Linked DNA regions of Anolis sagrei. The protein of the gene in region 1 interacts with the protein of each later gene in a pairwise test. Links are inferred from orthologs where the notes say so. Each region holds a gene or a part of one and is shown in the gene's direction. Other genes may lie near its edges. The genes, in order: TEX11, PPP1R18 and MAPKBP1.

Region 1 (3,751 bases):
ATTATAATATCTATATATCTAACAGAGAGAGGCAGGTAACAAATTTATTATTATTATATCTAGATCTATAACTAGCAGGAAGAGACAGTTAATAAATTTATTATTGTTATTATAATTATATTATCTATATCTAGCAGGGAGAGGTAGGTAACAAATGCATTATTATTATTATATCTGTACCTATTAGGAAGAGGCAGGTAGCTTTTTTATTAATACTATTATTAATATTATTATATTTATATATCTAGCAGGGAGAGGCAGGGAATAAATTCATTATTATTGTTGTTATAGCTATATATCTAGAAGGAAGAGGTGGGTAATAAATGCATTCTTCTTATTATTATTTTATCTATATCTAGTAGGGAGAGGCGGGTAACAAATTCATCGTCGTCGTCGTCGTCATTATATCTATATCAAGTAGGTAAAGGCAGCAATAAATTCATTATTATTATTATTGTATCTAGTAGAGAGATGATGATTATGATGATAATAATCATCATCATTATTACTGTATTATTATATCTATATCTATGGAGCTTCATATGTGAAGAAACCTATGTTGTTGAAATATTTATCTTCTGCCTTCAACCCTTTTATGAGTCTTGCCAAAACAGCTGCCTAATTCAACATTAACAGAGAAAAACAAATTAATTAAAATTACTTTAGAGATGTCTTTGGAAAGATAATAATAATAATAATAATAATAATAATAATAATAATAATAATGATAATATATTTGCTTTGTTACTGGCCTCTTCTCATGAGCCAAAGTTACATAGTTAAAATAAAAAACATAAGGTCGTTAAAATACAGATATGAAATGGCAAAGGGTACAATCAAGAACAGTAGGCAAAACAAGTGGATAAACATGCTAATGTTATTTCTTTTTCATTTCAAAGGTGTTCCTTTTGCGAATCGAATCCTGAAGAGGAAAACAGATCATGGAAATCAAAGGTGCAAAATATCAAATACTTTCTGTTCTGCATATGAATGTGGCAAGAAATCTGTGAGAGGGGGGTCGGGAAACTCCAAAGTATAATTATTACTTTAATTAGAGAGTCTATTTTTGTATGAAACAAAGAAAGCAAAGAGGATCAGCCGCAAAAAAATGAATATTGGGTGACAGGATATATTATTATCTCTTCTCACCGAATGCACTTTGCAAGGAAACAGAACACTTCGGTTACACTGAATTTGATGCAGTTGTCGCACACTCATTGTAGTATTGTAGTTCATGACTTGTGGTAACTTTTATCCAGCACAAAGTGTTTCAGGAACAAAAAAAACCCTCATTCTTCATCAGGTTCGAGTCTAAAAATCTCACATTTTCCATTCCCACTTATTCTTCCTGATCTCTTGCTGGCTCCTTAAAACATCTGTGTTATATTTGAATAGAGAATGATGATAGGAAGAACATGACGTATCATTCACCATCAACAAATGACAACAACCGTCATGTCAGAAAGCTCAGAAGCTGAAGCTTTGGACCCAGATTCACTGTCTGTGTCTCTTTATGACAAAAGAAAACCAAACGTGTCACAAAAAAGATGGAAAAAGCTCCGGGAACATAATTTTGAGTAAAGTTGGAGAATGGTAGCATTAATTATCACAAAGTTGTGATCAAAGTTTATTTAATACTATTATTATTATTATTATTATTATTATTCGCCTTTCTTCATGGCTCGAGGTGCATTACAACATAGCTAAAAACATATAAACATCTTAATCATTCTATAAAATACACATATTAAAACACTTAATTTGTATGTAGAGTTCTAAGTTTTATAGGGTTTGTTATTACATCGAACCACAAGGAGAAGCGGGTAAGAAATAAATTATTATTATTATTATTATTAGATGCATAACAAGAATGGTACACAGCAAACGAGATCACTATGCTGGCTTTTGTATTTGATCACATGTACAACACTTCCCAAGTGTCTAAGACTGTGTGATGTATTGCCAAATAATGCGCGCAGATCCGAGTAGGGTGACCTTTTGCAGCTGACAGATGGTAATTTTGTCAGTGCCAATTGTTTTTAAATGCAGGCCAAGGTCTTTAGGCACTGCACCCAGTGTGCCAATCACCACTGGGATCACCTTTACTGGCTTGTGCCAGAGTCGTTGTCGCCATTGTCGTCGTCTTCTTCTTCTTCTTCTTCTTCTTCTTCTTCTTCTTCCTCTTCTTCTTCTTCCTCTTCTTCTCCTTCTCCTTCTCCTTCTCCTTCTCCTCCTCCTCCTCCTCCTCCTCCTCCTCCTCCTCCTCCTCCTCACTTATAAAGCATAGGATCCACATGAAAATGTCATTATTCCCTCATTGATAAATGGCAAATTCCCCAAGATTTGTTCTTCCTCTTCCTCCTTGTCTTTATCTTCTTCTTCGTGTGAATACTATTGTCGTTATCACTATTGATATTATTTATATTGTTATTATTTTAACAATTTCTTCCTTAGTACTTCAGCTATCTTTTTGTCCTTTTGGTTTCCTCTTGCATTGTGTTCATGTCCTTTGGAAGCTTGTTTAGACCAATATATTCATGGCCTTTGAGTGTTCCTCCATCTGAATAAATAGGAGCTTGCTTTTGGAATAATAATAATTATATGTCAAAAGGAGGGTATCAGGGTTTTAGAGAGGCTTAGGAGGGACAGGGCCACAAAAATTGTTGTGAACCATTGCTCAAAGCCATGTTCTACAATTTTTTTAAAAGGCTCATAGTATAGCATTGATCATTAATATGTTTTAATATTAAATGATGAAAAGTTGGGATACCTTAAATTTTTCAGATTTTCTAGGTACGGTACTTAACCCTAGAATGTCCAAGTCTTCATGCAACGTGTTTCCTTTTAAAGGTTTCTTTTGTTGTTTCCTCCAATGTGCTTGGTTTCTTGTTTGTTTCCTGTTTGTTTTGAAAGTTAGAAAATGTAAACAGGCTGGTTTGTTTGAAAATGATACATTGCCTTGAAAGCTACTGTATAACTTACTTTGGCTTTTGTTGTTGCTTTTAATTGCAGAGCTCATTGAAAAACTGATGAGCAGCAAAGCCTCATCTGATGTACAAGAAGACACTGAGAAGCTGTTCAGGGATATAGAACAAGTGAATAAAAAAAGTATAAATGAGAGGGAGAAGGCCCAGGTACAAATAGTACAAACATTGGTAAAGATCTCTGAATGTGAGCATGGCGATGAATGAATGTTTATATGTGTTTGAATACTGAGGAAATGTAATTTCCCTTTTTGTACCAAGTTAGCTATAGAATCTGCATGTGTCTACCTTCTTTCTTTGTAGTATACTCTGTCTCATTGTGAATGAAAGGAAATAACCTTTTGAATGCTTCTTAAAGTTTTTAAAAAAGTATTTGTGACATGGTATAGACACACCCTTGCTGTGTAGATTCTAACCACACAGAATGAGGGAAATGGCTTTTTCTCTTGGTTATTTGGTGAAATATTGAATGCCATACTTTCCTTTCAATATGCTTTAAAACCTTTCAGAAAAATAAAACTGGTTCTGAAAAGCAACTGAATAATGAGGTTTTTCTGGTGAGATCAGCTCGCCCACCTCCTTCCTGTCCTTCAGAAGGATAGTAAAAATTGGTTGTGGACCCAGTTTTCAGGACAGTGCAATAAAGCAGGGACAGGAAACCTTACCAGGCCAATTAGATTAGACACAGATGATCAAGACGGTTTTAAACAGTGTATTTTAATATTGAGACAAATGTTTTTAATGTTTATGTATGCCTATAATGAATT
Region 2 (3,751 bases), on another chromosome or scaffold:
CCTGCCGATCCGCCCACTCGGCCACCCCCCTCCGCGCCGCTGCCTGCTGCCCGCCAAGCCCCGCCCCCTTTTCATTGTCCTCCCCTCTCCTGTTTATACACAAAGACCCCCGCCTGCCCCGGTCTCCTCCTCCTCCCCCTCCCCTTCCTCCGCTCTTTCTTTCTTTCTCTTCTTTCTCCTTCTTCCCAATCTTTCCTCTCTTCTCTCTCTTCCCCCTTTTTCTCCCTCTCTTTCTTTTGCCTCCCTTTCCTCCCTTTTTCCCCTCCCAGTTTTTCCATCCTGGGTTAAAATAGGATTTGAGCCATGGGGCTGGGAGGTGGAGCTCGGCAGAGGATTTAAAAAAGCGGGTGTGCAAAGGGATTGAGAGAGAGAGAGAGAGAGAATCATTATTTTTCGCCTTCTCTCTCTCTCTATGTTCCTCGTTCTCTCTGAAAGGAGGAGAAAAAACTTCTTGGGAAGCAGCAAAAGGAAGGAGGTGGAGAGAGGAAAGAAAGAGAAGAGAAATCGGAAAGGAGGAGGAGGAGAGGAAGAGGAAGAAAGGAGGAGGAGGAAAGCAAGAGAAGAAGACAGAAAGAGGAGGAAAATAGGAGGAAGGAAGGAAGAGAGGAAGAAGAAAGGGAGGAGGAGAGGAGGAGGAAGGAAGGAGGAGAGGAATAAGGAAGAAAGAGAAGGAGGAGAGCAGAAGAGGAAGACAGAAAGAGGAGGAGAATAAGAGGAAGGAAGGAGGAGAGGAATAAGAAAGAGGAGGAGGAGAATAAGAGAAGGAGAAGAGGAAGACAGAAAGAAGAGGAGAAGAGGAGGGAAGAAAGAGAAGAAAAAGGGGAAAAAGAAGGAGAATAGGAGGGAAGAAGAAGAAGAAAAAGAGGGGGAGGAAGAAAAGAGGAGAATAGGAGGAAGAAAGGAGAAGAATAAGAAAGAGGGAAAGAAAGGAGGAGGAGGGAGGAAGAAGGAGAAGAATAAGAAAGAGGGGAGGTAGAAAGGAGAAGAATAAGAAAGAGGAAGAAAGGAGAAGGAGAATAGGAGGAAGGAAAGAAGAGAAGAATAAGAAAGAGGAGGGAGGGAGGAAGAAGGAGAAGAATAAGAAAGGGGGGGAAAAGGAAGGAGAAGGAGAGTAAGATAAGGAGAAGAGGAAGACAGAAAGAGGAGGAGAAAGGAAGAGGGAGACGAATAAGAAAAAGGAGGAGGAAGAAAGGAAAGGAGGGGAATAAGAGCAGGAGAAGAGGAAGACAGGACGAGGAGAAGAAGAGGAGGGAGGAAGGAAGAGAAGGATAAGAAAGAGGAGGAGGAGGAAAGGAAGAAAAGAGGAAGGAGGAGGGGGCGGAAAGGGACTGACTAACCAAACCCTTCCTCTGGCAAGGCAGCCCTGACTCAGATCCTCCACCCGAATCTCCTCCCTTCTTTCTCTTGCTTTGAGGGACAGAGAGTGGCAGTCAAGAAAAGGAACTTCTCATCCAGCTGGGATCATCTGCACTTCTTCCTCAGAGATGGACCCAGCGGAGGACCCAGCCCACCTTCTGCCCCACATCTCTTGGACCACCTTGGTTTGATAGTGAGTAGGGAATCCTTGTTTTGTTTTGTTTTGTTTTGTTGGCCCCGAGAGATTATATGGGGATTTCCAAGCGGGCTAAGAACCTTAACAAAATCTCCTTCCAAGATCTCCCAAGGGTTCTCATTCTTCGGAGTTGGCCTACTTATGTGTGTGGACAACCCATGCTGATACCGGTTCAGTTCCTCTGATTGTGAGGCGCCAAGACGGAAAGGGATCAGGAGACACAAGGAGGGGAAGAAAGAGCAGGAGAGTCTTGGATAGAGATCCTCTGCCCTCTCTTTCTATGGCTTATCCTTAGTCCTATATTGTTTTCATCCATTGATCAAAGGGATCTTTGATCTTTTATCCCTTCTCAAGATGCTGGGATTCGGTCGTTACTGGAATATATCTTCCTTGTTTTTATTTTTCCCAAAATGAATTAGAAAATCATAGAATCCGAGAGTTGGAAGAGACCTCGTGGGCCAACCAGTCCAACCCCCTGCCAAGAAGCAGGAAAATCGCATTCAAATCGCTCTCATCACCTGAATTCTTGGAATTCTCTGGATATAAGGGGTTCTTGTTGTGTGAAAATCCGCTCATCTGGCTGCTTCCATCCCTCGGATGCCTGGATCCGATCTCTGCTGGGATTTGAGCTGATCTTCCCCGCTGCCTTTGTTTCCTCCTCAGGAATCCTCGCTTTTGACCCAGTTAAGAACTTCAAAAGGCAGCGCTGGGTACCAAAGTCAATTTAGCATCCTCACCTGTCACTGTTGGTTTTTGCAGGCGTTTGAACTCCTGGGATTGCTTGAAATTTGGAAACATCGAGATCCTATTACAGTAGGTTTGTATTTTTTTCTCCCCTTATGTATGTCCTTCTTATGGTTCCCATGCTCTTCCTCCCTCCTTGCAAGATTTGTTTACCTTTTCAGTCTTAAAGTGCAGCAGCCTGACATGATAATGTTATTTCAATGTGTTGTCGAAGGCTTTCAGGGCTGGAATCACTGGGTTGCTGTGAGTTTTCCAGGCTGTATGGCCATGTTCCAGAAGCATTCTCTCCTGACGTTTTGCCCACATCCTCAGAGGATGCCTGCCATAGATGCAGGGGTGGCTCAACCCATTACGCAAAGTAAGCATTTGCAGTATAGTTGATTTTGCCCAGGGGCGCTCTTGAGGCGCTCTTGGGGGAAAATAGACCTTGACATATGCGAGTTGTAGTTACTGGGATGTATAGTTCACCTACAATCAAAGAGCATTCTGAACTCTACCAATGATGGAATTGAACCAAATATGGCACACACAACTCCCATGACGAACAGTAAATATATATCAGTGATTGGTGGGGGCGGAGGGGGCAAAATACTGTTTGCTTACTGTTGAAAATTATCTAGGGCCGCCTTTGCATAGATGTGTATGAAACCTCAGGAGAGAATGCTTCTGGAACATGGCCATACAGCCCAGAAAACTCACAGAAACCCAATGTTATTTAAGGTATTTAATAATACTGGACACTATGTTAAATATCATTTTATTTATTTATTTACTAGCCGCCCTCTGACATGCATTGCTGTGGCCTTGTCTGTGTATATGTGTTTTTGTGTGTATATATTTGTGTACATATGTGTGTGTTTGCGTATATGTATGTGGTTTTGCGCATGCGTTGTAATGTATTTTTTTTATTTTTTGGCTTTTTAAGTCCCTTCCAATATGTTTCCCAGTGTTTTTATGAGTGATGGTCACTCACAGATAGGTGCATTGTGTCCAAATTTGGTGTCAATTCACCCAGTGGTTCTTGAGTTATGTTAATCCCACAAACGAACATTACATTTTTATTTATATAAACTAGCCATGCCCTGCCACGCGTTGCTGTGGCCCAGTCTGTGTATATGTCTTTGTGTGTATGTATGTGCATATATATTTGTGTATATGTGTATATATGTGTTTTTGCACTTGCATTGTAATGTATTTTTTTCTTCTGCTGTGTTTTTCAGGGTTTTTATGAGTGATGTTCACTTGTTGGTCAGATAGGTGCATTGTGTCCAAATTTGGTGTCAGTTCATCAAGTGGATTTTGAGTTATATTAATCCCACAAACAAGCATTACATGTTTATTTATATAGATTATTTATTATTATTTTAAAATAGTAGTGTCATGTTTATATTTTTCATAAATACATATTAATCACCACTACTCAGTGGCTGGGCGCATAAGGTTCTATGTAACCTC
Region 3 (3,751 bases), on another chromosome or scaffold:
ATACCCCCATGCATATGGGATATATTGAGTATGGTGATGAGATAATGATATGAATAAACATAACAGTTTAAGTAATGCACCAGTAAGGCCTTTTTGCGAACCACCATGAGAATTTCGGGGGGGGGGGGGGGGGGGGGGGCTGAAGTTCCCTGAGCGCCCCCCCCCCCCCCCCGCTACATGCCTGAGTGGTTCCCCGATGCATGGTAAGAAAACTTTTCCTCTGGGTGGATCTTTGTCTTTAGGTAAAGGTAAAGGTTTTCCACTGACATTAAGTCTAGTTGTGTCCGACTCTGGGGGTTGGTGCCGAAGAGCCGTCTTTGTCCATAGGCACCTCCAAGGTCATGTGGCTGGCATGGAGAGTAAAGACAAAGATCCAAGCTACAACTCCAAGGTAAGGTAAAGGTTTTCCCCTGACATTAATTCCAGTGTCTGACTCTGGGGTTTGGTGCCCCCCTCCATTTCTAAGCCGAATTGCGGGCGTTGCCCATAGACACCTCCAAGGTCATGTGGCCAGCATGACTGCATGGAGCGCCGTTACCTTCCCGGCAGAGTGGTGCCTATTGATCTACTCACATTTGCGTGTTTTTTCGAACTGCTAGGTTGGCAGAAGCTGGGGCTAACAGCGTGAGCTCACCCCACTCTCCGGATTCGGATTTTGTCTTTACCTTCCAAGAAGAAGCCAGGAGAGTAAAGACAAAGATCCATGCTACAACTCCAAGGATTTCGAACTGCTAGGTTGGCAGAAGCTGGGGCTAACAGCGTGAGCTCACCCCACTCCCCGGATTCGGATCTTTGTCTTTACCTTCCAAGAACAAACCAGGAGAGTAAAGACAAAGATCCATGCTACAACTCCAAGGATTCTATAGGAATGAGCCGTGGCACTTCAAGCGGTGTCAAACTGCGTTAATTCTACAGTGTAGAGGAGGCAATCGGAGGGGGTGTGTTGAGCGTGTGATGGTGCTGAGCTTTTCTTTCTCCAGAAAAAAAAACAACCGCATTCTTCCTTCCAGGGGGGTGGACCTTGAAGCGCCCACCCTTTCTCTCGATGCAGATTTTTCCTCTTGGCAGATTTGCCGCTCTTCCCCCTCCCTCCCTTCGCAGCGCTCTCCTCCTCCCTCGGTTTAGCGATTTGGTCCGCGTGGGCCACCGTAGCCGCGTCGGACTCTGGCTGGCTGGGAGCTGTCAGGGTGAATCCCGCAGCCAGACGCCGAGAGACGACGGGAGGGGAAGCACGGAGCGGGAGGGAAGAAGGGAGCCCCGAGCCTGCAAGGAAGGAAAGGAGGCGGAGGAAGGGCTGGAATGGACCCGCGTTGCGCCACCGCTTCCTCCCTCCCTCTGCATTTTTGAAATCCCTGACAGACTGCTTCTCCGAGTGGTTTGAAGGCTTCTCTCTCTCTCTCTCCCCGCACCGCCTCCTCTCCCTATCGCTCCCCGAAGCAGCTCTCTACGATTGGATTGGGAAGCCTTTCCAGAGGAGGAAGGCCGGGCTGCAGGGATGGACATCCAGGAGGGGAAAGCCTCTCTCCCGTCGTCCCTCTCCCGCCCTTAAAGCCAGGCTGCCTCTTCGCCCAGGTAACAAAGGTTTGGGATTCATTCCTGCCTGTCTCTTTAAATCAGGCATGGGCCAACTTGGGCCCTCTTTCCAGGTGTTTTGGACTTGAACTCCCACCATTCCTAACAGCCTCAGGCCCTTTCCTTTTCCCCCTCAGCCGCTTAAGCGGCTGAGGGGGAAAAGGAAGGGGCCTGAGGCTGTTAGGAATGGTGGGAGTTCAAGTCCAAAACACCTGGAAGGAGGGCCCAAGTTGGCCCATGCCTGATTTAAATCGAAATCTATAGATAAAAATAAGAAAATGTGCCTTCCTTCTGACGCTCTAAATTATATATATGTGTGTGTGTGTGTGTGTGTGAGTAGGGACAGAAATAAGGCATAGTGTATATGTGTGTGTGTATATATAATGCCTTGTTTCTGTACCCATATATATATATATATATATATATAGATAGATAGATAGATAGCCCTTCTGTCCGTTTAAATACACAAACACATATACAGGGACAGGAACAAGGCATCATATACACATTACATATATATACACACGCACACACACATACACATTATATATATATATATGATTGTGTATCTATATATTACTTACTTACTTAGGCGATCCCTCGTAGTCCGAGGATGATGGTCCTCCAACTTCGGTGTCCTGGCGGTGGGTTCGTAGGTGACTGTGGAGCCCTATTCTCTCTCTCTCTCTCTATATATATACACACACACACATTATGTATATATGTGTATATATATGTATAATATGCCTTTTTTTGTCCCTGTATATGTCTTCATTCTGTTTCTTTAGATGTCAATCTAACATATATGTATGTTCTTTTGTCCCTATATATATATATATATATATATGTATATATATAGTGTATATCCACATATACACTGTGCCTTACTTCTGTGCCTTTAAGTTTCATATATATGTGTGTGTTTATAATGCCTTCATTCTGTTCCTTTAAGATATATATCTATCTATATCTATATATATAGCCTTTTTCTGTCCCATATATATATATAAGGTAAAGGTAAAGGTAGTCCCCTGACATTAAGTCCAGTCATGTCTGACTCTGGGGTGTGGTGTTCATCTCCATTTCTAAGCCGAAGAGCCAGCATTGTCCGTAGACACCTCCAAGGTCATGTGGCCAGCATGACTGCATGGAGCGCCCCCCCCCCCTGCACAGCGGGCTAAACTGCTGAGCTGCTGAACTTGCTGACTGAAAGGTTTGGTGGTTCGAATCTGGAGAGTGGGGTGAACTCACGCTGTTAGCCACAGCTTCTGCCAACCTAGCAGTTCAAAAACATGCAAATGTGAGTAGATCAATAGGTACCGCTCCGGCGGGAAGGTAACGGCGCTCCATGCAGTCATGCCGGCCACATGACCTTGGAGGTGTCTACGGAGAATGCCAGCTCTTCAACTTAGAAATGGAGGTGAGCACCACCCCAGAGTCAGACACAATTAGACTTAATGTCAGGGGGAACCTTTACTTTTTATAAATATACCCACTATGTCTCCCTTCTGTCGCTACACACACACACATATATTCTTTCTGTCCCTTTAAATTAAAACACAGGTGCGCACACTATTTTAAAGGGACAAAAAGAAGGCAAACACATATATATAGTTTTCTGGTAGACTCTTCAGCTTTCTCCTCCTTATGCTTAAGGTTGGTTTATTCTCCCTCTGCGCTGCTGACTTGCAATTCTTGCCTTTGTGGGCAGGAGGAGTCAAAGGCACTGTGAATGTCTTCCAGGGAATTTGGAAAGTATTTGCTGAGCTTTTCTACCTTTACTGAGCTTTGTCACCAAAAGAATAAGAGGGTTTGAGGCCTGAGGCTTCTGCTTCTCTTGGCACCTGGTGATTTTCCCCTCCATCAAGAAGGGATAAGGGTAGGCGGGGTGTGTGTGTGTGTGTGTGCAAAAAAGTGTATATACGCTGAAGGTTGAAATAGAAAACCTGCATGAAAATGCTGCTGTCTTCATCTGGCTGCCAGACTTTGATTGTAGGGCTGGCTTCTGTTTTCTGTTATTGCCAGTTTAAAGACTGCAGCAAGGTGTGCATGCATTGTTACTTCAGACCACAATGCAGAATTATAACAGTTTGACATGACTTTTAACTGCCATGGCTCGCGCAGTAGAATTCTGGGATTTGTAGTTTGCTGTACTACAGCTAATAGGGTAGACTCTCCC

The links.
Region 2: the proteins of TEX11 (region 1) and PPP1R18 interact in binary tests that used the Homo sapiens proteins (3 or more experiments, as listed by UniProt). The two-hybrid records come from large-scale screens. The link is inferred for Anolis sagrei from reciprocal best matches to the Homo sapiens genes TEX11 and PPP1R18.
Region 3: the proteins of TEX11 (region 1) and MAPKBP1 interact in binary tests that used the Homo sapiens proteins (3 or more experiments, as listed by UniProt). The two-hybrid records come from large-scale screens. The link is inferred for Anolis sagrei from reciprocal best matches to the Homo sapiens genes TEX11 and MAPKBP1.

What each region holds. Positions count from the first base shown.
Region 1 is NC_090030.1:21,733,037-21,736,787, reverse strand, and holds the start of TEX11 (testis-expressed protein 11), read left to right. Parts: upstream 1-941; coding exon 942-954; intron 955-3,012; coding exon 3,013-3,134; intron 3,135-3,751. UniProt on the Homo sapiens protein: Regulator of crossing-over during meiosis. Involved in initiation and/or maintenance of chromosome synapsis and formation of crossovers.
Region 2 is NC_090022.1:23,670,007-23,673,757, forward strand, and holds the start of PPP1R18 (phostensin), read left to right. Parts: upstream 1-1,437; 5' UTR 1,438-1,549; intron 1,550-2,311; 5' UTR 2,312-2,365; exon of another isoform or gene 2,366-2,369; intron 2,370-3,751.
Region 3 is NC_090021.1:288,090,984-288,094,734, reverse strand, and holds the start of MAPKBP1 (mitogen-activated protein kinase-binding protein 1), read left to right. Parts: upstream 1-1,273; 5' UTR 1,274-1,572; intron 1,573-3,751. UniProt on the Homo sapiens protein: Negative regulator of NOD2 function. It down-regulates NOD2-induced processes such as activation of NF-kappa-B signaling, IL8 secretion and antibacterial response. Involved in JNK signaling pathway.